Diceros bicornis minor: one gene and its partners. The protein of the gene in region 3 interacts with the protein of the main gene of each other region in a pairwise test. Links are inferred from orthologs where the notes say so. Each region holds a gene or a part of one and is shown on either strand. Other genes may lie near its edges.

Evidence for each region. The genes of interacting proteins can lie anywhere in the genome.
Region 1: the proteins of TTC23 (region 3) and TRIM10 interact in binary tests that used the Homo sapiens proteins (3 or more experiments, as listed by UniProt). The two-hybrid records come from large-scale screens. The link is inferred for Diceros bicornis minor from reciprocal best matches to the Homo sapiens genes TTC23 and TRIM10.
Region 2: the proteins of TTC23 (region 3) and CREBZF interact in binary tests that used the Homo sapiens proteins (3 or more experiments, as listed by UniProt). The two-hybrid records come from large-scale screens. The link is inferred for Diceros bicornis minor from reciprocal best matches to the Homo sapiens genes TTC23 and CREBZF.

Annotation. Positions count from the first base shown.
Region 1 is NC_080753.1:35,797,622-35,808,419, reverse strand, and holds the start of TRIM10 (tripartite motif-containing protein 10), read right to left. Parts: upstream 4,890-10,798; coding exon 4,461-4,889; intron 3,231-4,460; coding exon 3,135-3,230; intron 2,551-3,134; coding exon 2,320-2,550; intron 1,577-2,319; coding exon 1,554-1,576; intron 1,225-1,553; coding exon 1,109-1,224; intron 1-1,108. Other genes in the region: E3 ubiquitin-protein ligase TRIM15, read left to right, coding at 7,285-7,653, 9,065-9,160, 10,235-10,465. UniProt on the Homo sapiens protein: E3 ligase that plays an essential role in the differentiation and survival of terminal erythroid cells. May directly bind to PTEN and promote its ubiquitination, resulting in its proteasomal degradation and activation of hypertrophic signaling.
Region 2 is NC_080746.1:46,858,617-46,868,770, forward strand, and holds the start of CREBZF (CREB/ATF bZIP transcription factor), read left to right. Parts: upstream 1-5,265; 5' UTR 5,266-5,493; coding exon 5,494-6,557; coding exon of another isoform or gene 6,558-6,561; exon of another isoform or gene 6,562-6,768; coding exon 6,769-6,784; 3' UTR 6,785-7,998; exon of another isoform or gene 7,999-9,296; intron 9,297-9,768; 3' UTR 9,769-10,154.
Region 3 is NC_080744.1:82,144,604-82,154,505, reverse strand, and holds the start of TTC23 (tetratricopeptide repeat protein 23), read right to left. Parts: upstream 3,922-9,902; 5' UTR 3,731-3,921; intron 2,032-3,730; exon of another isoform or gene 1,627-2,031; intron 1-1,626. UniProt on the Homo sapiens protein: Participates positively in the ciliary Hedgehog (Hh) signaling.

The sequences.
Region 1 (10,798 bases), on a different chromosome or scaffold from region 3:
AACCGCTAAGCCACAGGGCCGGCCCTTGACCAGTGGTTCTAAACTTGAGCTTGCACCAGAGTCCTCTGGAGCACTTGCTAAAACACTCGTGCTTCTGATTCAGGTGGCCTGGGCTGGGACTGAGAATCTGCATTTCTAACAAGTTCCCAAGAGATGCTGCTGCTGGTCGGGAGCCCCACTTTAAGAGCCACTGCCCTAGCTCTGAGCAGGCAGGGACCACATCTACCTTGGTCACCTCTGTATCCTCAGTGCCTCACACAGAGCCCAGGACATAGTAAATGCTCAAGAAACATCCACTTAACGAACAGATAAGTGGGTTAATTTATTTCTCATTCTGCTTGGAAATAATTTTTTGGATAGTCAAAGATTGGCCTTCGATTAGAGTAAAATTTCCTTCACTGCCAGGCCACTGGGAGGACTTGCAGGAAGTGGACTTGTGGGGAAAGCTCTTCTAGGGAGACATTTTTGTGGGCGGGTCATTTAGAAGTAGGTGGCATCGTTCATGATGTCATGTGTGTGGTAGGGTGTCGGCAGAGAGCTACATTCATGACTCTCCTTTCAAAACCTCCACACCCTCTCCCGCCACCACTCCTTGCTCCGGAAAAGGAGGGCATAGTCCACACAGAGGCAGTCCAATTCTGAGAGACAGACTAACAGGGGGGAAGCGAGAGAAAAGAGGAGGGAGAGGAGTCAGTGACCAACAGGGCAAAGAGAACTACTTTTGCTGGTTATTAATTAACAGTGTTCATCGTCAAAAACTTATCATGTATTACAAATGCCTCTGTGGATTTTTTTTAAATTATTGACAATGACAAATTTTGTTAATCATTATCTTTTATATTGCTTAATGCCAACTGATCAGATTTATTTATTTACTTATTTTTCAAATCAGCTCAATTTTTTTCCAGAAATCTTCACCTTTACTATCTCTCTTCATTGTCACATCATCCTGATAAGTAGATTTTATAAAGATCTGCAAATAAGGAAACCAAGGCACGGGAAGGGTACAAGCCTTGCCAAAAGTCACACGAGCATCGGGCAGCCTAGCATGGAGGCCGTTCCTAAACCCACGCTTCAAGACCACCTGTGCCCTGTGGGGTCCTCTTACCCAGAAACACCTTCATCTCCCTCTGCAGCGGAAGGGCCTGCTGGGGGAAGTCCCGAATCCTCTGGCCCAGCTCAGGGGACACAGCCTCTGGTTTCCGGCACTTTCTGGTTTCACACCTAGGGACACACAAATGGTAGGGTCGGGGAATTATCCTCCTCAGCAATGCCTCCAGACCCAGCTAGCTGCCTTCTTCTCACTGGGCAAGGAGATGCCAGTTCCCACAGGCAGACAGACTTGCTCTAGGATGGACCTCCCTGCCCACTCCTGGGCAACGCTATGCAGGAGTGTGTCTACAGCTGTACAAGGGAATGCATTCAAGTATGTGAAAGCTTATGTGTGAATTTTTATCTTTAATAAAATGAGAATGTTGTATATTTGCATGGCAACAACTAGGCATGTGGTGCATGTATGTGGGAAAAGAGAAGTGAAAAAGCGTATCACTTACCTTATTAGAGTGCTTCTGATATCCTAGAAGAAAGAGAGAGAGAGCAGTGATTCAGTTTCCACCTTCCCCATCCCACTTTTCTTATAACTAGAAAAGACAAAATATCATATTCCTAGCTCTGGATAGAAGAAGGACACCAGATCCTACAGTCACAGAGTTTTAGGGTTTACAAGGCTTCAGGGATCGTGGAGCCCAACCCCTTTATTTTATAGACTCAGATGTGAAGTGACCTGCTCCTGCTAGCTGGAGGCAAAGGCTAGTCCCATCCCATGGTCTCCTATTTCTCAGCCCTGACTGTGTTCCCCTGAATCACGCTGCCTTCCTGATGCCTTGTTGGGACCCCAATATCTCTCCTCCAGTGTGAGGAAGTGAAATAGACCAGGAACAGCTTCCTGACTGGTGGATGATGACACAGAGAATAGCTCACCTTGGAAATAGCACCTGACATTTGTTTGCATAGTACATGAGGCTTTTCAAAGTGCTACTTTCACTTCCATCTTACTGTAGGATCCTCACAAAATCCCTGTGAGGTAGTTAAGGAAAGTATTCCCTATTTGATGGATGGTGGCACAGAGAGACCAAGACCAGGGAGCAAAGTGACCAGTGGACTCTTGAGGAAGCGAGGACAAGAATTTAGAACTTCTGTCCTGTGACTCAGCTTCCACTTGGGATACAGAGATGTGTGAGTGAAGGAGGCATGGGTTAGACTAGATAGAGACGCAGTAAAATAGAGGCGAGCACAGGTGGGCAGTAGCTCAGGTCTCACCGTCAGGAGCTCCCTTGCCGGCCTCTCTTTCTTTTCCTCCAGTTCTGTGATCAGAGTGCTAAACCGGCAGATCTCCCCGGTGATCAGGATGTCAAACTCATCCCGTTGCTTCAAGATGTCCTCATCCAGCGTCTCCAGCTGGGCCAAGAGAATGTTCTGCTGTTCCTCCAGGAACTGGCTCAGATGTGCAAACTCGGAAATCACTTTTTGTCTCTTGGTGGCCACCTGAGTCTGAGGGGGTGAGAGGAAGTTATTCCTCCTCCTCCTTCTCCTCTTCCTTTTTCCTTAGTTCATGCCCATCTCCCTCCTGGCCCAGATCTTCCAAGGTCTGGTGGTAAAATCAGAGCCCCCCGCCCAACCCCCCTGGGTCCCCAGACAGACTTAGAAACGCAGCACGGTTTCCTTTCCACCTGTCATGCCATTTCTGGGAGCTAGACCGCCCAGCCTTGCCTCGGCACCTTCTGCTGGAGTTTCTAAAAGGGTGGGGCTCAGAGGAGGTGTAGGAGAGGTGGTGGTGACACCCTAGCTCCTGCCTTTTATGAAATGCACACTATGTGCATGGCACTAAGCTACATGGCAGGCACCGTCTCATTCAATCCTTATAGCAATTCAGTGAGGTAGTGACGATTTTTAATCTCCACTTTACAGATAAATAAACTGAGGATAGAGAGTTGCTTGAGGTCATAGAGCTAGTTGAGTGTCAGTCAGGATTTAAACTCAGAATGACTTCAAAGTCCTATGTGCTATGTTGCCTCTGTTTCAGGGAAGCCCTGGACCTGAAGAAGAGGGTGCACAGGGAAGGGATGATGACCTACCAGGAGGACTTGTATTCTTTCATTTTCCCTTGACTGGATTCGTTGAATCTCCTCTCTCTCTTTTCTTAGACTCTCAAGACACTTCTGTATCTGTTTCTGGAGAGAAGGAGAGTAAAAGGAGCATAAAGTGGAGAAGGAGCATAAAATATTTAAGATGGAAACAATGATTTGTCAGGGGGTGGCGTCTCATCCAACCCTCTGCCTCCAGAAATGGAATTACCCAAGGGAAGGAGTCACTCCCTGGGCCTTAATCACCCTTGACAGCTTATTCTCTTTGGGTCTTGTTCCTTTGCTTTGTCCTCCAAGAACTCTGATCAGTGCTTTCCCCCTTTATCCTGTGCCATCACAGGCTGTGACTCAATGTTCCCACCTGAGCCTTCCTTTCTTCAGTTAAACATCCTAATTTCTTTTGCCTTTGGTAAGTGATATCTGGGATCTGTCCTGAGCTTCAGAGGCCCTTGTTTGAAATTATTCCAACTTTCTCACATGTCCCAAAGGGAACACATCCAAACAACTTTCCCTTGTGAATTGAATCAATTTTCTATGTATGATTCTGGAGGGAAGAAGAAACTTGGAAAATGCAAAAATAATCAATGAATTGTTTTAAAAGTTGCTTGCTCTAGAATAGAGTTAGGCACAGGTATACTCACATAAATGTCCATTTAGGTACATTCCAAAATACATTTAGAACTCTCACCATCAAATGCTTGTTAACTAATTGACACATACACATAGACACCCACTTGTACTAAAACACAACACATAAACAACTAAAACCAGCACACACTCATTTAATGACAGATAAAATTACACACCATATAAATCTACCCAAACTGCATATATGTAAATGGTAATTTATTCACAAACACGAGCATTCCAATGGTTACATTTACACACTCAAATAGTCAGACCTCCCCCAAAGTTCTACCAAAGGTTCCAGTGTGTACCAGCACACACTGGCAAACATACAAACATTAATACATATACACACCACTTGTGCAATCATTCCCTCAAATACAAACTCAGACCTCCTCAGATATACCTGACTGATCCATTGCACAGACACATACACTCATGTTTTGGTCACTCATTCGTTCAACAAGTATTTATTGAGTGCTTATTATGTGTTGGTCATATGTAAACAACATAACACAATGCTTAAAACACAAACACATAATCTTCCATGCTTGGGTCTATTGCCTGGGTGATGATAGAAGTAGGGAGACAGAATTTGGCTTCAGAGTGGGCCAAATCATCCACAACTCTGCTCTGATTCTTTTAGTCTGGTTCATTCCCAGACCCACCCTGGGAACCCCCCTTTCCTACCCGGTAGGGATCTGCTGCATCCTCCAGGAAGCGCACGGTGTGGCCTCGGTGCTCCCACGCCTCCCGGCACACCACGCACAGCTGCATCTCATCATCCTCGCAGAAGAAGTAGAATTTCTCCCCGTGCTCCTGGCAGACGTCCTCCTCTTCGGAGCCTGGCATGGACACCAGCTTGAGGCGCTCGATGTTCTCCACCACGCTGGCCAGCTGCCAGTTGGGTCGGAAGCTCCCTGGGCGGAAAGGCTCCTTGCAGAGTGGGCAGGTGGTGGGCTCGTCAGCCTCTGGGGCAGGGATCTCAAGGTAGCGGATGAGGCAGCTGTGGCAGAAGTTGTGGCCACAGTCGATGGTGACCGGTTCCCTCAGGGTGCCTTGGCAGATGGGGCAGTTGACCTCGTCTGCCAGGCTACTCACAGAGGCGGCCGAGGCCATGGTGCTGCTGTGCCTGTGGCCTCCTCAAGGTCACCCAGTCTGCTTGGCTGAGGGAGAAGGGCTGGAAGAACAGTGAAGACACATCACACACTCACACACCTACATGTACACGCAGCTGGACACAGGCACATCCTAAATACACACCAACAACCTCATAGTCATACACACACACTCACACATGCGCAAGGGCATGGCTCCCACTTGCTTCTCTGGCGGCCGTAGTTCTGCTGTTCTCCTCCCAAAGGGACAGACACACACCCTCCAACAGCAGAGATGGAGAAATAGCAGAGGAGGGGAAGTAGGCAAGGAAGAAAGCAGGGCCACAGCATCTCAGAGATGACCTCAGCTACTCTTCCATTGGTGCCCATGGCCTGGGGCTCACCGTTCCTTCCAGTCCGTCCAGAGACACTCACAGCAGAAGGAAAGTGGTGGTATCTTAACTGTCCACAGTTGAACGAGGTCGTTCTTCCTTCAGGGGCAGGAGGGAGACTGGGTCACAGAGCAGTGATGCCACTCAGCCTCCCTGCACTATCACCAGCTGTCTCCAGGGAGATTGGAGATATCAGCCAGCCCAGGGAAGTGTGGGGACCCAGATAAGGTGGTTGTGCCCAGGGAGCATGGCACAGTCAACTTCACTTCATGCCCCAACCGGCCTGCCCAAGGCTTCCAAAGAGGCTGGAATATACTCTGTGTGGGGGAGGAGAAAGAAAAATAGCAACAGCTCACTCTTGTTTATGATGACTGTATTCCTCACACTGATGTAAGAAACTTAAACATGTGATCTTATTTATTCCTCCTGTCTGCTGCATAACGTCGGTGCATTAGGATATTAGCTAGGCTCAGCCAGGTTATTTAACTTGCCCAGGGTACAAGGTAGGAAGGGGGTGGTCATAATCTGCGCTCAGATCTGTTTGTCTTAGAGCTGTGCTGTCCAAGAGAAATATAATGCAAGCCACATATGCAATTTAAAATTTCCTAGTAGCCGTATTTTAAAAAGTAAAAAGTGAAAATAATTTTAATATTTTATTTAGGCCCAAAGATGATTATTTCGGTGTGTAATCAGTATAAAAAATTAGTAATGAGGCATTTACATTCTTTTTCATTGGTGCTAAGTCTTTGAAATCTGGGGTGTATTTTACACAGGCAGCACGTCTCGGTGGGGACTGGCCACGTCTCAATGCTCAGCAGCCACATGTGGCTGGAGGCCCCTGTGTTGGACAGCGTAGCCCCAGGGGATGCACTCTTGGGTCGGGGGCAGATAGTGTGGCAAGGGAAGGTGATAGACAAATTAGTTGAAGTGAAAGGGGAGGGAAAACGGGTGCAGGGCTGATCCTTCGGTGAGAGAATGGGAGTTTCTCCTTGGTCTTATCCACAGATGCAGGTGAGTGGATGAAGAATCGTGGCTATTTGATCATTGTCTTGGCTTGGAGTTCGGGAAGAGCATAGGCTGGAAGCCGGCAACCTTGGATTGACCCAAACCTGCGGCTTTCTAGCTCTGTGACCTGGGGAAGTCACTTTACCTTTCAGTTTATGATTCTTTCTCTGTAAAATGAAGGTAGTCATACCTGCCTCAAAGGCTGTTATCAGATTGGATGTCATAATATGAGAATACTCAGCCTTAGATAAATGTGGTTGAGTCTGTTTATCTTCTTGGCTGAGTTTTCTAAATTTTGTTTATCCACATGAATCATTTGCATCATGGTACATTATCCAAACTCCAGTGGGGACACTGGCGCTGGGGGGTGGCGGGAGTTCAGAGTTTAGGAGACACCAGCCTGGGCAGATGAGGTGAGGCAAGGAAAGGAGGGCAGAGGAGGGAGTCTCACGAGCAATCATCCCACGGTGGACCTGCAGTGCAGGTCCCCCGGAACAGTCTGCCGGAAGTCAGTCACTGCCCACTCCAGCCTGGACTTTGTCACTGTGGTCACACCTCAAAGCCAGAAGTTTATGGCTCCCACCTGCTCAATTGAACAGGAAGACACATATCCTACCCAGCTCTCCCCACCCCACTGTGGTCAAGGGAGGGATTCCAGGAAGCCCTGTCTCCCTGTGACCTCACGGCATGCTCTGCTCCCCACCCCAGGGACTGGAAGGAGTCAGAAGGAGTCAGAAGGAGTGGAGAACAGGCTGACAAGGCCACTACTGGGAAATGCTGGGTAATTTGAGAAGCCCTGGAGTTTGCACCCGCTCTACTGATGGGTGGTGGCCAGGACTCCGGGGAAGCACAAGAGGTGGAGCCAGGTGGCTTCCCTGTCCGGACATTCCTGCTTCCTCTCTCTTGATCTCCTATTGCTTTCCTTCTGTGACTCATGTAAAAGTGACTCAATTTCAGGGAAAGAGAATTCATGTGGCCTGAGACAGAGGCCTGAGTGGACCAGCTGGGGAAGGCACCGTGATGCCCTCAACCCCCTCCCATGAGAGGGTCTCTTGTCCTGCCTGCAAGGGATCCCTGGAGAATGCAGTGACGGCCACCTGTGGACACACCTTCTGCCGGCTGTGCCTCGCCCTGCCCTCCCAGATGGGAGCCCAGCCTTCCGGCAGGGTTCTGCTCTGTCCCCTCTGCAAGGAGAAGGAGCGAGCAGAGACTGTCATGGTCCCAGTGCCCCTGGGCCCTCTGGGGGAGACTTACTGCGAGGAGCATGGCGAGAAGATTTACTTCTTCTGTGAGAACGATGCTGAGCTACTCTGTGTGTTCTGCCGTGAGGGTCCCTCTCACCAGGCCCACACCGTGGGCTTCCTCGACGAGGCCATTCAGCCCTACCGGGTAAGAAGTGTGGCTCTAGCTAGGACATGTTTAGGGTGGGACAGTGTCCTGTCGTGGTGAAGGAAGGGGGTGGGGACCTGGGTGAAGGGCCACAGCTTCCATATCAGGGTACCCCAAGGCTGCAGCGACACTGGAGACAGCCCCAGACTGAGGGGGACACAGTTCCACTAAGCCGTGTGGTCATTCACAGTCTTAGGGGGAAATTTAGCTCCAGCCCTCAAGGGGCCCCACAGTGATGGAGCACAAAGAACCGTGGCCATGGCTTCACTGTCTGTGGAAGGAAAGAGAGCCCCAGTGCAGAGTAGGATCTGCTGCAGGTTATGGGCTGGGTGAACTTGGTCTCCCAGTATCCAGACTGGATATGGGATTTACCAAAGCCCTGACCTCTGGGGCTCAGAGGGAAGAGAGGGACGGGAAGGGCAACCTGCAAGTGCTGTTCTTCTTTTTGAAAAAGGGAGGTGCGGCTTAGCCTATCTGGTCTAGGAGACATTATCCATTCCTGTCTGCCTCTCAGATCTCTCTCTTGTCATCCAGTCACCAAGTCTGGAAGTGGTTTCCTCAGAAGCATCTCTCAAATTTTTAACTCTGCATTGTCCCCACAGCCACTGCCAAATCCAGGTTCTCACCATCTGTCACTCAGACTTTGCATGATCTCTAACGTTTTCCCTGTGTCCACTCTCACCTTTCCAACCACCAGCCATTCTGCTACGAGGTAGATCTTCCTAAAACACAAAGCCAATCATGATGTTCCCCTGCTTACTATCCTTCCAAGGATCTCTAGCACCCAAAGAAAGTTCAATATCTTTAACAAGGCATTTACAGTAGTTTGCAGTTGGGATCTTGCCTTCCCGTCCAATCTCATCTCTCAGCTGTCCTCCCCAAGGCACCATGTGTCCAGCCAGACTGACCCCTATGGACTGGCTGTCTTCTGAATTGTTTTACTCTTTCCTGCTTCTAATACTTTTCACATGTGGTTCCTTCCTCCTAGAATGCCACTCTCCCCCCTCACTCTCTCTCTTTTTAAATATTTTAATAATTTTTAAGTTCAGGGGCATTAAGTACCGTCCTCCCCCTCTCTTACTCAGCTGGAAATTTACCTTTGAAGGCCCACTCCAAATATTTTCTGATTTCTAAAACCTTCCCTTGACCCTACAGGCAGAATTGTCTGCTCCTCTGTGCTCCCATCTCACTGTGTGCCCACTTCGATTATTGCATTTGTCTATTTGTATTTTAATCACTTGTGACAAACCTCTTCCCTAAATGATGATCTCTTTAGGGACAAGAACTGCACCTTTTTCACCTTTGAATTCCTCAGCACTCAACAGTGTGCCTGGAACATGGTAGACAATTGATATCTGTGAGTTGAATTATGAATGAAGTCACCTCTCTCTGCCCGTTCTTCTCCCCATAGGATCGTCTCAGGAGTCGGCTGGAAGCTCTGAGCGTGGAGAGAGATGAGATTGAGGACAAAAAGAGTCGGGAAGACCAGAAGCTCCATGTGCTCCTGGTAAAGACCATGTCGTTGGCCACCATCTCCTTTGGGGGTATTCTTAATAGACTCTGGGAAAGCTTCTTGTGTGGTATCTGTTGCCTGGCTGGAAAGAACCAGCAAGCTGTTATCATTCACTTCCCTGCCTCTGCACACGGGCATTTGGAGTCAAGGTTGTGAAATGCCAGACCATCAGAGCCGAAAGTTGTTCTGACGTCTTCTAATCTCAGATCCATCTTGTCAGCCATTTTGTTTACAGAGCAGAAAATTGAGGTCCAGGAAAGTGATGCTCCCAAGGCCACATGGCAAAGCCCAGGATCACGATGAAATGGCTAGAACCTGGGTCTCTTGACCCTTAGTCCATTGCTCTTCCCATTCCAGCCTGTCTGCCTGAAATTGTGGCCTACAGATGGGAAGCTTGGGTCCAGAAGGCATATATTAGTGTCTGCATTCCAGTCCTGACCCCAAGGCTGACTCCGAGGACAGTAGGCTAATGGTGTGGCTATATCTGGCTCCTTCCCATCTCTTTTTTCATGCTACAAAGTTATCCAGGAAGAAATCCACAGTGTGGGAATTTCTGGTACCTTGACCAAAGCGGCAGAGTTTTGGGACGGGAAGGTCTCTCCAGTATTCCTCAACTCCCATCCAAGTATGCCCTGTAGGTGGCGACTTCAGTGGCTAAGACCAATGCTACGCACTCTTCCAATAAGTTGTGCTGACTCTAATCACAGCTTACTTTCTCTTCAATTGCTAAGACATGACTATAATCACCTCCACCTGACTCTAGGGAAGGATTGGTAGGGTTAGGATGATATCAGAGATGTGAAGGATGTTTAAAAAGTTCAACATGGCTCTGAGAACCTAATGTGGCATTATTATTAGAATCTCTAGGTAAGACAAGAGCATAGCCCTCATCATTGATAAGTTTATTCTGAGACCTACCTACTTCTACCAGAGTATTATCTGGGAGAAAGAGTTTGGAACTAGTTACCTCCTATCCTTCTTAATCAATGGTAAGTATATAGATGATCCTCCTGGAAGCCAGCTCTGTGAGCTTTTCCCTAACCACATTTGTCTTTCCACCACTCGCAGACTCAGATTGAAAGCAAGAAACAGCAGGTGGAAGCAGCTTTCGAGAGGTTGCAGCAGGAGCTGGGGGAACAGCAATGTCTCCTGCTGGCCAGGCTGAGGGAGTTGGAGCGGCAGATCTGGAAGGAGAGGGACGAGTACATCTCAAAGGTCTCTGAGGAGGTGGCCCGGCTTGGGGCCCAGGTCAAGGAGCTGGAGGAGAAGTGTCAGCAGCCAGCAAGTGAGCTTCTACAAGTGAGAGACAATCCACCACCTCGTGAGATGGGAGGGGGATTCTACAGGAAGGGGACACCCTGCTGGGGGCTGGAAGATGCTGGAGAGAGGCAGGAAAGGGAAGCAGAGGTTATTTTTAATGGGAGGGACGAACAGTTATTGGGTTCCTTTGGCGCAGGGAGGTTATGGAGATGCAGACCCAGAAAGGCTGGGTGGCTTGCCCACGCACTGTGGTCTTGTCAAGGGCTTTGGAGTCAGACGGTCTTGGGTTTGAGTGCCGGCTCTTCAGCTGTGTGACCTTGGCAAGTCTTGTAACCTCCCTAAACATGAGGATAATAATAGCACCTCTCTCAT
Region 2 (10,154 bases), on a different chromosome or scaffold from region 3:
AAATTCAATAAATGTATATATTGGTGTTGAAGTACCATAAAGTCATAGTCTTTGTGGAGGATTTGATAGGTTGGTACTCATCATCTATTCAATCCTTCTTTTAATGTGCTTTCCAGTATTGCAGAAATGGAAAACCTAAAACAAAAGAAACACAAAAGCAAACTATATTTGCCAGACTCTTCTGCAGTTATATTTGGAAGATGCAAACGAGGCAGGGGCCCACTCCCTCTGCTTTGGCTGTTGTTGCTGCCAAGCACATTCTTGGAGACATCGGGTTTTTCTGCAACAGCATCCCAATATTCATTGACTAGTTTTATGGGATATGGTAGCCAGCCCCCAAGATAGCACCTAACGATTCTTGTCTCCTAGTATTCACATCTTGTGTAGTCCCCTTTCACAGTGAGTAAGGTCTGACTGGTGTGACTGATAGAATACTATAGAAGTGATCGTATGTGACTTCTGAGGCTAGGTCATAAAAGACATTGCTGCTGCTTCCTTGGCCTCTTGGATCATTCATTCTGGGGGAAGCCAGCCAATGGGGGAAGCCAGTATAGACATTCACACAGCCTATGGAGAGGCCCACATGGAGTGGGGAATAGAGGCTTCCCCCAGGACTAACCTGTCAGCCACCTTGGAAGTGGATCCTGTAGCCCCAGTCAAGCCTTCAGATAACTGCAGCCCCAGCCAAAATCTGACTTAATTCCATGAGAATTCCAGAGCCAGACTGCATTGCCAAGGCACTTAAAATTTCTGACCAACAGAAACTTTGAGAGATAATAAATTTTTATTGTCATTTTAAGCCACAACAGTAAGCAAATATTTATTGTTGTTTTAAGGTTTTGGGTAACTTATGAGGCAGCAATAGATAATTAATACATGGGGTTGAGAGTTTGGGCAGCAGCAGTGCTCTTGAAGCCAACATTCCAGCTTTCTATTTTACCACTTTCCCATTTGGGGCAGAGATAGCAGCTCCCTACGAGGCCTGTTTGGCCATGTTGCACTGAGAAGCATTCTTGATCACCCAGCCTAATGTCCACTCCTCCAATCCTTCCAATGACTTTGTAAGCACATATTCTCTGTCTTACATCTTTTTATGCTTTAAATAGCTAAATTGGTTTCTGTTCCCTGCAGTTGAGCTTAATCTAATAAAAATACCCATCTCAAATCAACAGCTAGACACTAGAGGCATTTCTGTTAAAGTCAGGAATAAGACAAGCAAGTTGGCTATCAAGGGTATTATTTAACATCAATCTGGAAGTGCTATTTCATTATTAGTCAAGATAGTGAAATAAGAATTGCAGAGAAGGAGGCAAAATTGTCATCATATATTATAAGGTGATATAATTGTCTACCAGGAAAATCTCAATGAATAAGCTGAAAATAAAAACTAGTAAGAAAGTGCAGTGGGGTAATCAGTTAAAAATTAACAAAAAAGATCAACAGTTTTCCTATGTAGCAGCAAAAGTCATTTAGAAAATATAAAGAAGAAATAATCTAGTCCAGTAGCAAAAAATGCATAAAATAACTGGGAAAAATAAATTAATAAGTTTAATGCAATTTCCATGAAAACTCCAGCTTTGTTTTGAACTTGGAAAATTTTTATAAAGTTATCTGGAAGAATAAATATTTAAATATAGGTAGAAAATTCTGATAAAGTAAGACTAACAAAGAAGGACTTGTCCTATGAGATATTAAAATATATTATAAAATTGCAATAAAAATGGAGTGATTTTGCTTCCAGAATGGTTAGACTGATCAACAAAGTAGAAGAAAAAGACCAGAAATAGATCCAACTATACGTAAGAATTTAATATATGGCATACATGTTAGGAAATCAGTGGGGCAGGTATGGATCGTCCGATAAATTGCATTGTGGCAGATAAGTTTTTGAAAAATTATATTCATATGTCACATTTTATAAGAGAATAAATTCCATTTGGATCTAATTGAAATAAGTAATCACTCATGTTGTTAAAAACTCTTAGTAAAATATAAATAGAAGTAGTTAAAGAAGTTCTAAAACATATAGGTCAACATTAGTATTATTTAGGCCAATACACTCTTTTTAGGCTTAACACCAGAGCCAGAAACCATGAAGAAAATTTTGAAGATTGACTATTTAAAAATTATAGCAAAAGAAGCAATTTCACTCCTTCCCTCTCCCAATAAATGATCAACAGGGGAAAATATTGGAACATATATGACACAAAGGTATGTTTTCCTTATAATGCAAAGAGTTCATATAAATCAAGAAGGAAAAAGACAAATTTTCCTTGACAAACATTTTCTTCCACTTCAAAGAAAAACAGGCTCAAGAGGTGAGAAGGCTATTCACATTGGAAGTCAATTGGTCATGTGAAAAACACTCAAACTTCTAATAATCAATGCAAATTCACACAAAAAGATGCCACTATTTATTTATTTGTTTATTTTATTTATTTTTTCCCCCAAAGCCCCAGTAGATAGTTGTATGTCATAGCCGCACATCCTTCTAGTTGCTGTATGTGGAACGCGGCCTCAGCATGGCCAGAGAAGCAGTGCGTCGCTGCGTGCCAGGGATCCGAACCCGGGCTGCCAGCAGCGGAGCACACGCACTTAACCGCTAAGCCACGGGCCCGGCCCACCACTATTTATTTTTGCATTGACACATTTTAAAAAGAATGAATCCACTGTCACTGAGTGGGTAGGAACTAAATACTGTCAGATACCATTAATGAGAGATACCTTTCTGTAGGTAATAATGGTCTATGTACAAAAATTGTATCCAGAAATTCTACTTTGAAGAATTTATGCTAAGGAAGTTATAGGATAAGTGACCAAAGATGTTTGTACAACATTATCATGTGGATTATAATAGTGAAAAATTCAACACAACCTAAGTGTTATCAATGAGGAACTGGTTGAATAAAAGTTAGGAAGTTCATGAAATGGAATTCTAGACAGTCATCAAATATTAGTATGTGGATCTATATTTAGTTGCATGCAAAATGCACACAATATATGCATACCAAAACAGTAGAGTTCAAAGAAATAAAATAAATCGGTGTGTCTGTACATAGAAAAACTTTTTATATTATACACCAAAATTTTAATAACAGTTATTTTGGGGTAGAGTGTGGGTAATATCCTTCTATCCATTTCTGCATTATGTGAATCTTTTGCAATGACCATTATAACAAGAAAAAGAAAAAACAGCTGTGAAGGAGAGAGCGAGAAGACTGAGGAGAAGAAAAGGGAGAAAGGGCAAAGAGGGGGGGAGCTATTTTGGGTAGGTTTACTCTTGTTTCACTTGCTTTTTTTTCTGAGGCTACCTGGTAAAAACTTCCTTCTCTTTCAGTTTTCAACTTTTCTGTTAATCCAACCACAGAGGCTCTTAAGCCATGTATAGTCAAATCAAAATCTTGTAATCTAGGAAAAAAATGTAATAAATCAGTCCATGATCTTGAATTTTGCCTAAGGAGAAAATGCAGTTTGATGGGATTACCAGCCACACAAAACACCTGCAACTCAACACAGGCCACACTGATCACATTGAACTGTGTACTGTTCTACTTTAGCAAAACTTTTCCTAATGGGAAAGTCAAGCACGACATGGAGGTTATTTATTTATTCTTCTAGATACCATAGGACATACTTATATTTGCCTCTTGCATAATTGTTTTCATTTAGCTGAGTTTTAGTGTTATGCCTTCAGCCAAAACTGGAGACCTTCTTCATTCACTCATTCAACAAATATTTATTGAAGCCTAAGCTGTACTTACCTACTGTTCTGGATATTTGGGACCTAATCTGTGTCCAGCTTTCCCGGAACTTGCTTTCTAAAGAAACAGCCCTATGACAATATCTATTGTTGAGGCTATCTGCTACTTTATTCAGTATCCCATAGAGAAGTTTTTTTAAGATAAGAACTGGAAAAGTAGTCAAAGAATTCATATATACTTTACTCATGAGCAAACAAAGGAAAGTTTGTTTCTCTCTGTTGTTTGGCCTGCCAGGAAGCTCAGTCTATCGTTAGCTCAACTTGAGTAACTGTGTAATATTTTATGTCCATCCTATTCCAATACTAACCTCTCTCCCTTTGGGAACTCCTTATCTTCCTATTTCATCTATATTTTCACTGGCCTTGCTTTTTAAAACTTCGAATTGTTTTGTTTCACTGTATTCTAATGTATTTGTAAAGTGGTTCAAATTTCAAATACCTCGTGGGATTAGAGGAACAAGATAACACCATGAGGAAACAGACAAATCCAGAATGTGGTGCATTTTTCAACACAAATGACCTTGTCTCTTCAAAAAGCCAATATTAAGGAAAACTAAAAAGTGAAAGGGACTACTCTAGTTTGAGAAATGGGGGAGAAAACCCACAAAAACATAACCAAATGCAGTAAGTGACACTTGATTGGATCCTGGCTCAAAAGACAATATTCCCTATGAAAGATTATTTTGAGGAAAGCTGAGGAAATTTGAATATAGCATGGGTTATAGATATTAGCGAATGATTGTTAATTTTCTCAAGGCCTGATAATAGTATTATGATTATGAAAGAGAATGTGCTTATTTTTAGAGAAGCATACTGAAGTATGTTGGGGTGGTGTGTGTTGTCTGTAACTTTGGGATGATTCAGCAAAAAAAAAAAATATATATATATATTTTACAAACATTTATATACAGATAAAGCACATATGGCAAAATGTTAATTGTTGAATTGTGGAGCCTGAGCATTGGCTAGTATTGTTGAATTAGAATGGATACCGTACTATTCTTTCACATATTCTGTATGTTCGGAAATTTTTATAAGGAAAACTTGGAAATATTAAATTATGTATCAATGACTTATTTACCTCTCTTTTCTTTTAGTATTCTGTAAGTGTTTGAATGAAAAGGTACTGTATTATAACGGAAGGGAAAAGGAGCAATTTTAAGCGGGATCTGATCGCTAGTCTTATATCCCAGAGAAATCCAGGATAACGTTAAGACTATTCATAAATTTGGTATCTAAAAGATCAATTCTGAGCGAGAGTGGTTTCACTAAAAGTGGAAGCCAGAATAGAGAGTTGAGAAGTTAGAGCTGAGAGGGTAGGCCACTCATTAAACCTGGGATTTGTTGTTATTTTTGCCGCTGTTACTATGACATCACTGGAGACCTGGAATCACTCCCACTTCAGATCTTCCTAACTCTCGCGATACCAGCGCCTGGTGGCGCGCGAAACGCCATAGGAGGGGCTGGGGCGAGATCGACCGACTTCCGGCCAGGCCGTTGTCTGGGTGGCGCGGCCGAGTCATCTCTTGGCTTCGCCGCTCGGATCTCCCATCCCTCCCCCCGCCCCGGCGCGGGGGGTCGACCAGCCAAGAGGGGCGGGAGGCGACTCGGACCCTCCTCTTCATTTCGTTCTGGCCAGCTCCCCGGCTACCCGCGCTGGGGCCTGGGGTCCTCGGGGCCCGCGAGGCCCGGTCTGAGAGGCCGGGGCCTACGTGGGCCCGCTGCTGGGCCCCATGAGGCATAGCCTGACCAAACTGCTGGCGGCCTCGGGCAGCGATTCCCTCACCCGCAGCGAGAGCCCGGCGCCGGCCGCGACCTGCTCGCTGCCCCCGGACTTGACCCGGGCGGCAGCGGCGGCGGAGGAGGAAGAGACGGCGGCGGCCGGATCTCCCGGCCGCAGGCAGCCGCGCGGCGACGAGGCCGAGTTGGAGGCCGGGAGGGGGAGCCGCGGCGGCGTGGCCGTGCGCGCGCCCTCGCCCGAGGAGATGGAGGAGGAGGCGATCGCCGGCGTCCCCGGGGAGGAGACGGAGGACATGGACTTTCTGTCCGGGCTGGAACTGGCGGATCTGCTGGACCCCCGGCAACCGGACTGGCACCTGGAGCCCGGGCTCAGCTCTCCCGGGCCTCTCTCTTCGTCCGGCGGAGGCTCGGATAGCGGCGGCCTGTGGAGAGGGGACGACGACGACGAGGCCGCGGCTGCCGAGATGCAGCGCTTTTCTGACCTGCTGCAGAGGCTGTTAAACGGGATCGGAGGCTGCAGCAGCAGCAGTGACAGTGGCAGCGGTGAAAAGAGGCGGAGAAAGTCCCCAGGAGGCGGCGGCGGCAGCAGCGGCAACGACAACAACCAGGCGGCGACAAAGAGTCCCCGGAAGGCGGCGGCGGCTGCTGCCCGTCTTAATCGGCTGAAGAAGAAGGAGTACGTGATGGGGCTGGAGAGTCGAGTCCGGGGTCTGGCAGCCGAGAACCAGGAGCTGCGGGCCGAGAATCGGGAGCTGGGCAAGCGCGTCCAGGCACTGCAGGAGGAGAGTCGCTACCTACGGGCCGTCTTAGCCAACGAGACCGGACTGGCTCGCTTGCTGAGCCGGCTGAGCGGCGTGGGACTGCGGCTGACCACCTCGCTCTTCAGAGACTCGCCCGCCGGTGACCATGACTACGCTCTGCCGGTGGGAAAGCAGCAGCAGGACCTGCTGGAAGAGGACGACTCGGCGGGAGGAGTGTGTCTTCATGTGGACAAGGATAAGGTGTCGGTGGAGTTCTGCTCGGCGTGCGCCCGGAAGGCGTCGTCTTCTCTTAAAATGTAGGGTCAAGTAATCTGCTCTTTATCCGCGTTTACCCCTTTCAACTCCCTTACACCATGTAAAACACCTTAGTGGGACATCTTCACTGGACACATTTCAGAGGAGGAAAAAAAAGTAATATTGAATCTTTAAGTGTTTAGCTAAAAGCATGAATGTGACACTGTAACCAACTCCTAATGATAACATGTGACTATTAAATCTCTCTGACAGTTTCTTTTTTAGGTGATTTCCTTCCTGCCAGGCTCCGTTGTAGGGGTTACAGAACAGTCGTTCCCGCCTCACAACCTGGTAAGGATCCATCTCTTCACGTAACGCTCATGCTCTGCTGCTTAGTCTACTTTAATGGGCAACATCTCAATTTGTGTGTGTGTGGTTTTTTTTTTTTTTTCTTTTTTGGAAGGTGGGAGGGAGATCTAATTTGGGCCCTGTCCACCCTGGAAACAGACTTGTGCTGGTCAATAATGTATTTAAGATGCTTCTTCTGGTTAAAATAGCTGTTAATGTGTCCCCTTGTTCAGACTTGCGTGTACCTAGCTCTTCTGTCCCCAGTGTGGACATGGCCTTGGATGACATCGGTTCCAACTGTACACTGAAAGCTGCTAATAGAGATACAGTTTGGAGACAGTGACACAGGTGAAGTTGAATGGAAGTTCCGAGTTGTACAAGGTGCAAATTGGAATTCCAATTTTAGAGCAACTTTTCAGAGGTTGACAATAAGTATTTGGGGCATGCGCAAATGTGATAGTTTTGCTGGAGATGACAAAAATCTCTTAAATATTCAAGAATGCCTTTTAGTTTTCAGTAGAAAATCTAGAAATACAATCTATTCAGATTAACAGATTGTAATATCTCACCATTAGAGAAATTGGAAATTAATATGCATATCAGATTCCTGTGTTAGTTAATTGAAGGAGGAATAAGAATGGTTAATGAAATGTTTCTCTGAGGACCAGCACAGTGATTACCCTATCACTGAGTATGAATAAATTGTTGAACACCTTTATTTTTGTTGTATTAAAATTTTAGGTTAAATTTATGTATGATTAGATATTGAAGGTTGTGAAATGTGAATGAAAACGTGTAAAGTGAGGCTTCACAAAGAATCTTATTCTCCATATTTCAAAGGTATTTGTTCTATTTAAAAATAATTTTAAAAATTGAGTGGTTCTGGCTACTTAATGACACGATGGACACTTTTTCCAAACATGGGACATATTCTCCCCTTGAAGTACTCTATTATCTATTGTCCAGTTGTATAAATTGAGTTACGGTGTCCTTCAGTGTAACAGGCATTAAGAAATTCTTTGTGAAACATCACTGTTTGATAAAGTATATACGTATTTAGCATCCTTGTTTTTCTTTGTGCTAAAGTGGATACAGCTGTTGGGGCAGAAGAGACGGGACCAGCTGCTGGCCACATTTCCTGCTTTATTTTAAAAGGTAGTATAAGAAATGAGGAAAAAGAGGTAATATCAGGGCTTCTGCTGTCTTTTATTTTAAAATGTCCATAATAAGTATTTTCCAGCAGTCCAAAGATGTAAGTTATCTTACACATAAAATGTTTTATTTTGTTGTTATTTGGTTATGAAAATGGAATCCTTGTTCTTGCACAACTGTAAATGTTTTGTTGCTAGATAATACGATTTGAGACCTAACTTGGTCTCTGGTTTCCAGTGCATCACAGTGTATTTTGTAAAATCATCTGCACTTGAGCATGAATGGGTAGTAGCCAAACTCACAACCTGGAGTGATGAACCTGCTTATACCTAAGTGCAGGAGCAAGCCCCTCACAATGCAGCTGCATGGATTTTTAGTGCCTACTGAATTATATATATATATATATATATATATAAACCAAAAGTAGTTGGAAAAATTATTTGAAATGACTAATTTGTGCTATCTTTATGGAATATGTTAAATGTAGCTTTTTGAAACAGAAGCCTTGAATTGAAATTTAATTAATACTTGAACATTTTGTATATATTTCTTTGTATATAATTTTGTGCAGTACCAATGAAAAAATACGGTGTCATAATAAAACCAGGTTTGTTGATCTTTCAGTTATGGGCTCAAAGAATTTATTCATCTCTAACATGACATTGGAAAATAATGGATGACAATAGGAAAAATGATTGTTGTTAATGCTGACTGTGGGTCTTAAAAGGTTCTGGAAGCAGTAAGTGCGTTTTTCTAACAATTATACCATTCCCTTGGAATATTTCCTTCCTAATGTCAATGCTTTTCCTGCATTATTTGAAGTTTGGGGCTGGGGAGAAACAGTAGTCAGAGCTTTCTGAATTGGGATGCTTTGAAATTCCAAGTGTAGATTTTTAGAATGTCATTTTATAAATGGCAGTTTTTGGAAATACTTGATTAAGAACTTTTGAAAATGGAGATTAGTATCGCCTATTTTTAAAGCTGCTTTGTTAGGTTCCTTATGTTTTAACTGTCTTCTTAGTTTCCATATCATTCTCTTTTTTTTCTAATTTTTGGTGACTTAGTGATTTTGTCATTTTTTACATCAACTTCATGGTCTTGTTTTTACATGGTATTGCATGTATTTAGGATCTTTCTAACAGGGGCTTTAAATAAATTTGGTCATATTTATGTGTAAGCACATTTTACTGTAAACGTTTGAGTTTCTGAATTTACAACAGATCTGTTTATTTCAGTATGTAGTAAACTATACCTTAAAAGTGTCCTATTCACTACTTGCTAATTAAAAAAGTTATGATTAATATGAAACTGTTGTCTTACTATTTTTAGAAAATTGTGTTCTGAATGAGTAGTAGTTGGATAAAGGAGATTTCTGAAATATGGCTTGTTTTGAAATTTTCAGGTTTGGCTCTATTTACTGTAATGGATAAAAACAATTTAGTAGTTGGGGAACCTTTTTTTTTGTTTTCCTAATTTTGCCTCTATGGCACAATGATACATAACTAGATTAAAGATGTAGCTTTTTAATATTTGTCTTCTGATGGTGACAGGTTTTCATACATTAATTGAACTAACACATCATATTGACCTACTATTTCTATCATATTGACTTAACTGTTCTGCACTTCCTTGACCAGACTTAACTAAAAAGTCCACGTTTGTTAAGATGTAGTCACACCTCTGATATAATCCAACAAAAAGTGTTCAAAATATTTTAAATATTTGTGCATTTTATAATCACTAAATTAATCTCTCTCTCTTCTCTTTAAACAGCTTAGCAGTGTCTACAAAAACGAATCTTTTCCTACAACCTGTTAACTGACTGGACTGATGGTAACAAAGTAATTGTGGGAGCCATGTCGGTCAAAAATTTGGCATCTGCTGAAAAAAATGAATGCCATTTTCAAGTTCCCAAATTACTTCTATACTGATTTCACTTTCCAGAAATGGAGATATGAAAAGATTCTCTGGAATCCTTGAAAGACTTAATAGAAATACATGAGACTAAGTTAATTTTGGAACAAAATTATATTTTTTTTTTTTGTCTTTCATGGGAGTGATACTCAGTTCTTTGCATACCTTTTAAAAATTGTAACCGTTGGAGAAGAGAATTACAGTATTTCATCAAGGAATGTTAGATTCTTTACATAATCAAGAGT
Region 3 (9,902 bases):
GCCCAACACTGAGGATAGTATCCGGCACATGGTAGCAGCTCACTGAGTGTATGGAACTGAGTTTTGTCTCAGAGAAACAGGTCAGGTGAAAGCCTACAGTCTGGGCAAGAACATCTTCCATCCTCCCATGGCATTCTTCCCTCATAAGGGTTTTTTGTTATTATCGTTGAAATTCCTTCAATTCAGTTAAATAGAACGAAGAAACACAATGAAATTCGGAGGGAAAAGGAGCAAGGACTGATGCGATGTGAACAACAATCACTTTTACTGTTTTAATTGCACCATAACACTGCCACATCTAATAAAATTTGTATTTGTAGTGCTAAACAAAAAAATAAGCTCAATGCTTTAAAAGAATAGAAAGAAATGCATCAAGATTGATGTTATTCAACTAGGCGAAAGTAAAGTTATTAGGATAAAATGTCTTAAGAGGCTACTACCAATATGTACTCCATTATTTGTAGTTATTAGTTATCACTATTTAGCCCCTTAGCTAGCTTCCAGTCTCTGCTCTTGGAGCCATCTCAAACTGCGTCAGTTTTATCTTTTTTAAATACTACTTGCATGAGGTCTCCCTCCTGTTCAAAACCCAGCACCAAACTCCCTAATTCTGGCAATTTTGACTTTTCATGTGACTTTTCATGCTTTTTTTTAAACTAAAGTCCCCAAATCAACCTTCTGCTGCAGTCAGAGCCAATTATTCTCTAGGCTGCACATATTTGCTAACAACTCACCCACTACCTGGGATGCCACTTCCCTTCTTTTCTATCTACTGAAACTTTGCCCATTGCTCAGGCCCAAATTGGGTCTGAACCCTGCTGTGAAGTTCTCTCTATTTCAGCTCACACTGATCTGAGCACCTGAAGCACGTATGATCTGTAACGGTCATGTATGCATTAAGAACTGTCCAAAAGTTTTCATTTAAATGTTTTGAGTCTCATTCTCCCAGTTAGAGTATGAGCTTCTTGAGAGACTGTATTTTATTATTTTATATCCACAAACATGGATTAACAGAGGCCCCTTAAGAAATATTTATTGTATACCCACTATGGGTTAGGCCTTGTAGAGGTATACATGTGCCACTAGGTATTATATTTATTAATTGAATTAATGTTTGAAGAATCCTTAAGATGTTATATTTTGGAATTATATATTGGTCTGGATCCTAAAAAAATATTATGTTGCTATTTCAAATATAAGTTTTAATATATGTTATTCTTGTTTATCAATATTTTCCTTAACTTTTATATTTTAGTTTTAATGAAAATATCTTTTTGAAAATATAAATGCAGGATTTCATTTTTGAAAATTTATCCTTACATTAATTACCTACTGATTCTGCTTCATATACCAACATTATGTTTCGCTTGGTCATTAGCAGATCTGTCCCTGGATCTCCTAATCTAAAAATATACACAAAATTTGGATCCAAAGATGATTCTAATTTTCTCTTATATCTTTTAATAGATGGATTGTCTATTATGCTAGGTATGATAATATGTAAACAAAAATATCCACCACTTGATAATTACAAATAACATTACTGTGTCCCTTTAAATGCATATTAAAGCAAGAACAAACCACAGCTTCTTAGAATATAAAATAATCTATAATTAATCTTATTACCTTGTTCCCTTTACCATTCAAAAATCCACTGCTAATCCAACAATAATGTTCTTCCAACTTCACCCTAAAAAGAAAAACACCCTCTGAAAACTCGTCTTCCTGCCACTCTTAGATTGTGCCCTTATTTTATCTGGTTTTCCTTTGACACTTACTCCTTTAAAACTAGCGAAAAATTGGAAAAGTTTCCTTAACTCTCATATCTCCGTGTCGTAAAATCCGTGTCAAAAATTTACCCTGTATGCTTGAGAAGTTCTCCGTTTCTTTTTCGAGCGAATTACACAGTTGTCTCGGCAGCCTGATTTGCCAGTATTGGTTCCCTTAGCAGTTTGGTGATTCTTTGTACAGATCGATAACTATGAAAAAGTCTCAAGTAGGGCAGTTCCAGACTAAATTAGAGCAGCCTTTTCCCGTAAAGCAACCAGGTACCTCACAAAACTCCAGGCAGAAGAATGAATGATAGAGCATGCACCAATAGGGAGTGGAGAAGAGTCTTTTGTAGAAGTTTGTAACCCAATCCTTGGGAGCCAGGGGTGGGAATTTTAAAATGGGGTTGTCTTTTCCTTGGAATTTTCTTAAAGTGGTATCGCTGCCTGTTGATGTTCAAGTTTGTCCAAGATCGCAAAATCACTAGCTTAAATGAGAGAATCCCCTCCGCCTTGTTTTGAGTGAGGCAAAATGTGAAAATTGACACTAGACAAATTTAGAGAATTTTTAAGAGTGGTCATAGGATACTATACTAACAGAATCACTTGGCTACTGTATGTCAGTTTCAGGGGGTGTAAGTTATTTTAGTATGATTCTTTTTTTGTGTGTATGAGGAAGATTAGCCCTGAGCTAACATCCCTTGCCAATCCTCCTCTTTTCACTGAGAAAGACTGGCCCTGGGCTAACATCTGTGCCCATCTTCCTCTACTTTGTATGGGACACCGCCACAGCATGGCTTGACAAGCGGTGCCTCGCTGCGCGGGGGGATCAGAACCTGCGAACCCCGAACCTGGGGCCGCCAAGCGGAATGCGCGATATTAACCACTACGCCACGGAGCCGTCCCTAGTATGCTTCATTTTTCATGATCAAATATCGGATGTTAATTAATGCATTAAAATATTTCTTTTTTTAAGAAATGAAAACTAAGAGGCTAACATTACTTTAAAAAAAGTATTGTTCTATTGTTAATCCTTTTTTTGTGACTCTTCAATATTAGGAGCAAGTCTTATTATTTGGCTTGATTCTTAATACCCTAAAGATTTTTCTTTACAAACTGTATAGAAAGTTCTTTACAAACTACAGGTCTCCTCATTTTACGTCTAGCAAAAAATTTCTAAGTAATACAAATTCTTAGGTATTTAGAAACCTGTACCAAAGGTCCTAGAACTACATGACATATGCCATGCCATATACATCAACTTCTGAAGACCAGGTTTAATAAATAGGTAATTGGTAAGTATTTCGTTATAACTCATACCCTGTTTTGGAATAGGCGTTATTTTTATTTAGTATAACTCTGCCTTTTAGGTTATTCATCTCTAACAGTAATTAAATAAACCAACGCGAAACTAGTTATAAAGTTAAGGTTGCTTGACAGTGAACCGTTAATAAATTAATCAAGCTTTTCAAAGAACAATAAATAACAGCAGTTTCATGAGAGAAAATTAATATAAACAAACTTCACTTGAGAAAGAAAGTTGCCATATTAACCAACAAGGTATTTAAAAAATAAGTTTGGCTTTTTAAATGTTCCCTAACAATGCTTGGTATTTTTTTCTTTTTACCAGCATAAAGCTCTCTTCCTTTGACGTCTCTTTCCGCTGACTAAGGAATTTTCATCCTCAGGAAATATTGACGTCCTACTCAGTCAGGCTATTAACTGCCATAATATTTAACTTACTAAGTTGTTATTGCCCTTTTCAGTGATCGTTTCTCACAATTGACCTTAGGTATTTCAAGAGCAAGAGACTTTGTCACCGCCTCAGCTGTGGAACCCTATCAGCGCGCAGTGAGCCCTTAAATCCTGTGCTTAGGCTACGTACTAACCAACCTTGGCCACATTACATAAACCCACTGGGCCTCAGTTTTTCATCCGGCAAAAAGGTATAATAACAGTACCTGTGTCACGGGATTGCGTGAGGGTTAAATGAGATAATCTATGCACAGCTCTTAGAACGCTGCCTGGTACACAATAAGCGCTCGGGTGTTATTGCCATTGTAATCCCTCAACATATGCTTTAACCGAGACCAATGAGAGCACGAGTGCCTGAACGAACGTATGAATGAAAAAACACATCAGGTGCTGGCGGTTTCTGAGGTTGGGGCCGGCTAAATCATCCCCTCAAAAGACTATGCAGAAGGCGATTTTCCACACAGCAAGCTCCCAACCACAGCCGGAAGCAAGGGTCGAGCGATGGGCGGAGCCCGTCTGGAGGAAGCCTTGCTCTCGGCCAATAGGGACATGTCTTGGAAAACGAGCCTCTTGTCCGACCTATCGTGAAACTGCGAGAACAAGGGAGAATTATCGCGAGGTTCCGTCTCCCTCTCCAAGGCTTCCGCCCCGCCCCGCTCCTAGCCACCCGCGCCTCGCCCCGCCCCCCGCCCGGCGCCCCGCCCCGCCCGCCGTCCCTGGGCTCGCCGTCCAGCGCCACCTGCGCTCCGGAGCGCTGGCTCCGCTGGCGCCGAGGTGAGTGCGGCCGTCCGTGGCGTCGGGTGGCTCACGTGGCAAGGCCCCATGGCCCGTCCCCGGCCCCCTGGTCGAGTGTGGCCAAAGCGTCCGTGTCGCGGCGAGTGGGCTTCGGCCTGAGCGGGCCCGTCTGGGCCTCGGGTCGCCACAGCTGCCGGGCCCTCTTCGCCCTCCGGTACTGGAGAATCCCGATATCTGGTCTTTGAAATCCTGGCCACTGGGCTCCCTGCTTCCAAACTGTAGCGACCGGAGTGCTCAGCTAACTCGGGCGAAAGGGCATGTGTTTTGCCTAAGACTTCTGCCAGCGCTTCTTAGCACTGAGAAAATAACCTTTTACAAATGCTTTTAATACCAAATGCTTTTAATATACAGTTTTTAATTCTCTAATTTCCAATATTAGGAAATTGGAGTGGATATTCTACTGAATTAAATACTAAAGTCAGTTTAAGAGACTCCTTTCCTTTAAAACAGTCCTGCTTAAAATGTGTGGGATGTTCTTAAGATGGAAGGGTCTGTTTGTTTTAAATAATAATAAAGTGGATTGGTCTTTACCTGTCAGAAAACGATTGTGGAAGTGCATTTATATACAGTTAATATTAAGTATACCATTTACTTTTAACTGTAGATAAGAGGTAGAGAAGGGAATTTGTGTAAGAAAATTATCCTGGTACAGGCTGTAGATTGCCAATGAATGCATATTGGAAAACCATTAGCATTATTTATTATTGGCAGCTTTCAGATTTCATTTTGTAGTTTTTATCTCCCAAATAGTGTTTGTAGCAAGATGCATTTTAACATGGTGTCATGATATTTTAAAGGCAGCTAATTTCAGCCATCCGAATTCAGAGGGAAAGCCATCAGGTTACACTGAATTCTCTTACTGGATCTCCCATCAGTGAGGATGGGTTTTGGGTATAGTTTTGCTTTGTAGTCTTAAATTTATAAGCTTGCCTGCCACTTAAATGATACTAGGAAGAAGCACAGGCCCCATTGAAGGGCTGGGAAAGGCTACATTGTAGGGCAGTGCACAGGCTTTGGAGTCCGTCCACCTGGGTAGGAATTCTGGCAGGTTTTTCCTGAGAAACTCAGTTGCCTCATCTATGAAATTGGCCAAATAACGTCTATTGCAATGCAGAGTTGGAAGGATTAGGGATCTTTGGCACATAATAAGCACTCAGTATGTAGCATCTACAAGCCGACCTTAGATCACAGAATGAAAAAATCTCTCTTGCAGTATTACTCACGTGTCCTCCTTTCATCCATTCACCAGGTGTTTGAGGACCCGCTTTGTGCTAGATACTGCAGCAGAGGCTGGTTTACATGAGTGAAGAAAACAGCAGAATCTCTGCCCTCAGGAGTTTACAGTCGCTTGGCTAGATTGACAATAGACAGATATACCAATAAATATATAGATTACAAACTGTGAGGAGTCCTACAAAGAAAAACAATTGGGTTTCTCTGAAAGAATAACAGGAGAATACTTTAGTTTGGGATAGGGAAGTGATTTTTACCTTGAAACCTGCAAGGTGATGGGACAGTGCTTTCCAGGTTAAGGAGAGCGCCAAGTGCTGTGAAGACTTTCACACTGTCAAGGGCTAGAAAAGCCCAGGAGCTTGGTGAGAAGCCGGGGAGTGTGCTGTCAGATACGGTTGGAGAAATAGGTGGGGACAGATAGTGAGGACCCCTGAAGTCCTGGTTAAGAGTTTGATTTTCTAAAAGGCTTTTAAAGGGTTTATTTAGTAGGATGTGTGTGCACTAGGGAGCGAGTTTACCTGAGAGAGAAGGAGACATAATTGGATTTACATTTTTTTTGTTGTTGACGTCATAATAGTTGATAACATTGTGAAATTTTAGTTATACATTATTGTTTGTCAGTCGCCATATAAATGCGTCCCTTCACCCCTTCTGCCCACTCCTAACCCTCTTCCCCCTGGTAACCACCAAACTGTTCTCTCTGTGTGTTAAGTTTATCTTCCACATATGAGTGAAATCATATGGTGTTTGTCTTTCTCTGTCTGGCTTATTTCACTTAGCATAATACCTGCCAGGTCCATCCATGTTGTTGCAAATGGGACTATTTTTGTCTTTTTTTCTGGCTGAGTAGTATTCCATTGTATGTATATACCACATCTTTTTTTTTTTTTTTTTTTTTGTGAGGAAGATCAGCCCTGAGCTAACATCCATGCTAATCCTCCTCTTTTGGCTGAGTAAGACTGGCTCTGAGCTAACATCCACTGCCAGTCCTCCTCTTTTTTTCCCCCAAAGCTCCAGCAGATAGTTGTATGTCATAGTTGCACATCCTTCTAGTTGCTGTATGTGGGACGCGGCCTTAGCATGGCCGGAGAAGCAGTGCGTTGGTGCGCGCCCGGGATCCCAACCCGGGCCGCCAGTAGCGGAGCGCGTGCACTTAACCGCTAAGCCACAGGGCTGGCCCCCCACATCTTCTTTATTCAATCATCTGTCGACGGACACTTGGATTGCTTGCACTTCTTGGCTGTAGTGAATAATGCTGCAATGAACAGAGGGGTGCATAAGCCTCTTTGGATTGTTGATTTCAGGTTCTTTGGATAGATACCCAGTAGTGGGATAGCTGGATCATAAGGTATTTCTATTTTTAATTTTTTGAGGAATCTCCCTACTGTTTTCCATAGAGGCTGCACTAGTTTCCATTCCCACCAGCAGTGAATGAGGGTTCCCTTTCCTCCACAGCCTCTCCAACGTTTGTTATTTTTTGTCTTGGTAATTATAGCCATTCTAACAGGTGTAAAGTGATATCTTAGTGTAGTGTTGATTTGTATTTCCCTGATGATTAGTGATGTTGAGCATCTTTTCATGTGCCTATTGGCCATCTGTATATCTTTCTTGGAAAAATGTCTGTTCACATCCTCTGCCCATTTTTTGATTGGGTTTTTTTGTTATTGTTGTTGTTCAGTTGTGTGAGTTCTTTATATATTATGGAGATTAACCGCTTGTTGGATATATGATTTGCAAATATTTTCTCCCAGCTGGTGGGTTGTCTTTTCATTTTGATTCTGGTTTCCTTTGCCCTGCAGAAGCTCTTTAGTCTGATGAAGTCCCACTTGTTTATCTTTTGTTTCCATTGTCCAAATAGACATGGAATTCAAAAAGATCCTTCTATGACCAATGTCAGAGTGTACTGCTTATATTTTCTTCTAGGAGTTTTATAGTTTCAGGTCTTCAAGTCTTTGATCCATTTTGAGTTAGTTTTTGTGTCTGGTGAAAGAAAATGGTCTACTTTCATTCTTTTGTGTGTGGCTGTCCAGTTTTCCCAACACCATTTATTGAAGAGACTTTCCTTTCTCCATTGTATATTCTTAGCTCCTTTGTTGAAGATTAGCTGTGTGTAGATGTGTGGTTTTATTTCTGGGCTTTCAATTCTGTTCCATTGATCTGTGTGTCTGTTTTTGTACCGGTACCATGCTGTTGTAATTATCACAGCTTTGTAGTGTACTTTGAAGTCAGGGATTGTGATGTCTCCAGCTTTGTTCTTTTTTCTCAAGATTGTTTTAGCTATTCGGGGTCTTTTATTGCCACATATGAATTTTAGTATTCTTTGTTCTATTTCCGTGAAGAATGTCATTGGGATTCTGATTAGGATTGCATTGAATTTGTAGATTGCTTTAGATAGTATGGACATTTTAACTATATTTATTCTTCCAATCCATGTGCATGGAATATCTTTCCATTTCTTTATGTCATCATTGATTTCTTTTAATAATATCTTACCATTTTCATTGTATAGGTCTTTCACCTCCTTGGTTAAGTTTATTCCTAGATATTTTATTCTTTTTGTTGCGATTATAAATGGGATTGTATTCTTGAGTTCTCTTTCTGTTAGTTTGTTATTAGAGTATAGAAATGCAACTGATTTTTGTAAGTTGATTTTGTACCCTGCAACTTTGCTGTAGTTGTTGATTATTTCTAGTAGTTTTCTGATGGATTCTTTAGGGTTTTCTGTATATAAAATCATGTCGTCTGCAAACAGTGAGAGTTTCACTTCTTTGTTGCTATTTGGATTCTTTGTATTCCTTCTTCTTGCCTCATTGCTCTGGCCAAAACCTCCAGTACTATGTTGAATAAAAGTGTTGCAAGTGGGCACCCTTGTCTTGTTCCTGTTCTCAGAGGGATGGCTTTCAGTTTTTCCCCGTTGGGTGTGATGTTGGCTGTGGGTTTGTCATATATGGCCTTTATTATGTTGAGGTACTTTCTGTACCTGTTTTGTTGAGAGTTTTTATCATAAATGGATGTTGGATCTTGTCAAATGCTTTCTCTGCATCTATTGAGATGATCATGTGGTTTTTAGTTCTCGTTTTGTTAATGTGGTGTATCACATTGATTGATTTGTGGATGTTGAACCATCCCTGTGTACCTGGTATACATCCCACTAGATCATGGTGTATGATCTTTTTAATGTATTGCTGTATTCGGTTTGCCAATATTTTGTTGAGGATTTTTGCATCTGTGTTCATTAGCGATATTGGCCTGTAATTTTCCTTCGTTGTATTGTCTTTGTCTGGCTTTGGTATTAGGGTGATGTTGGCCTCATAGGATGTGTTAGAAAGTGTCTCATCTTCTTCTATTTTTTGGAATAGTTTGAGAAGGTTAGGTATTAAATCTTCTTTAAATGTTTGGTAAAATTCTCCACAGAAGCCATCTAGTCCTGGCCTTTCATTTTTTGGAAGGTTTTTGATTACTGTTTCAATCTCTTTACTTGTGATTGGTCTATTCAGATTCTCTCTTTCTTCTTTATTCGGTTTGGGGAGGTTGTATGAGTCTAAGAATTTATCCATTTCTTCTAGATTGTCCAATTTGTTGGCCTATAGTATTTTGTGGTATCCATTGTAATTTCTCCTCTTCCATTTCTAATTGTATTTATTTGAGCCTTCTCTCTTTTTTTCTTAGTAAGTCTGGGTAAGGGTTTGTCAATTTTGTTTATCATCTCAAAGAACCAGTTTTTTGTTTCATTGATCCTTTCTACTGTTTTTTTGGTTTCAATTTCATTTATTTCTGCTCTAATTTTTATTATTTCCCTCCTTCTGCTGACTGTGGGCTTTGTTTGTCCTTTTTCTAGTTCTGTTAGGTGTAGTTTAAGATTGCTTATTTGGGATTTTTCTTATTTGTTAAGGTGGGCCTGTATTGTTATGAATTTCCCTCTCAGGACCACTTTTGCTGTACCCCATATGAGTTGGTATGGTGTATTTTCATATTCATTTGTCTCCAGATATTTTTTGATTTCTCCTTTAATTTCTTCAATGATACTTTGGTTGTTCAGTAGCATATTGTTTAGTCTCTATATCTTTGTCACTTTCCCAGTTTTTTCTTGTAGTTGATTTCTAGTTTCATAGCATTATGGTCAGAAAAGATGCTTGTTATGTTTTCAATCTTCTTAAATTTATAGAGACTTGCCTTGTTTCCCAACATATGGTCTGTCCTTGAGAATGTCCTTTGCGTGCTTGAGAAGAATGTGTAATCTGCTGTGTTTGGATGGAGTGCTCTCTATATATGTATTAAGTGCATCTTGTCTAGTTTTTCTTTAAGTCTGCTCTTTCCTTATTGACTTTCTGTCTGGATGATCTATCCATT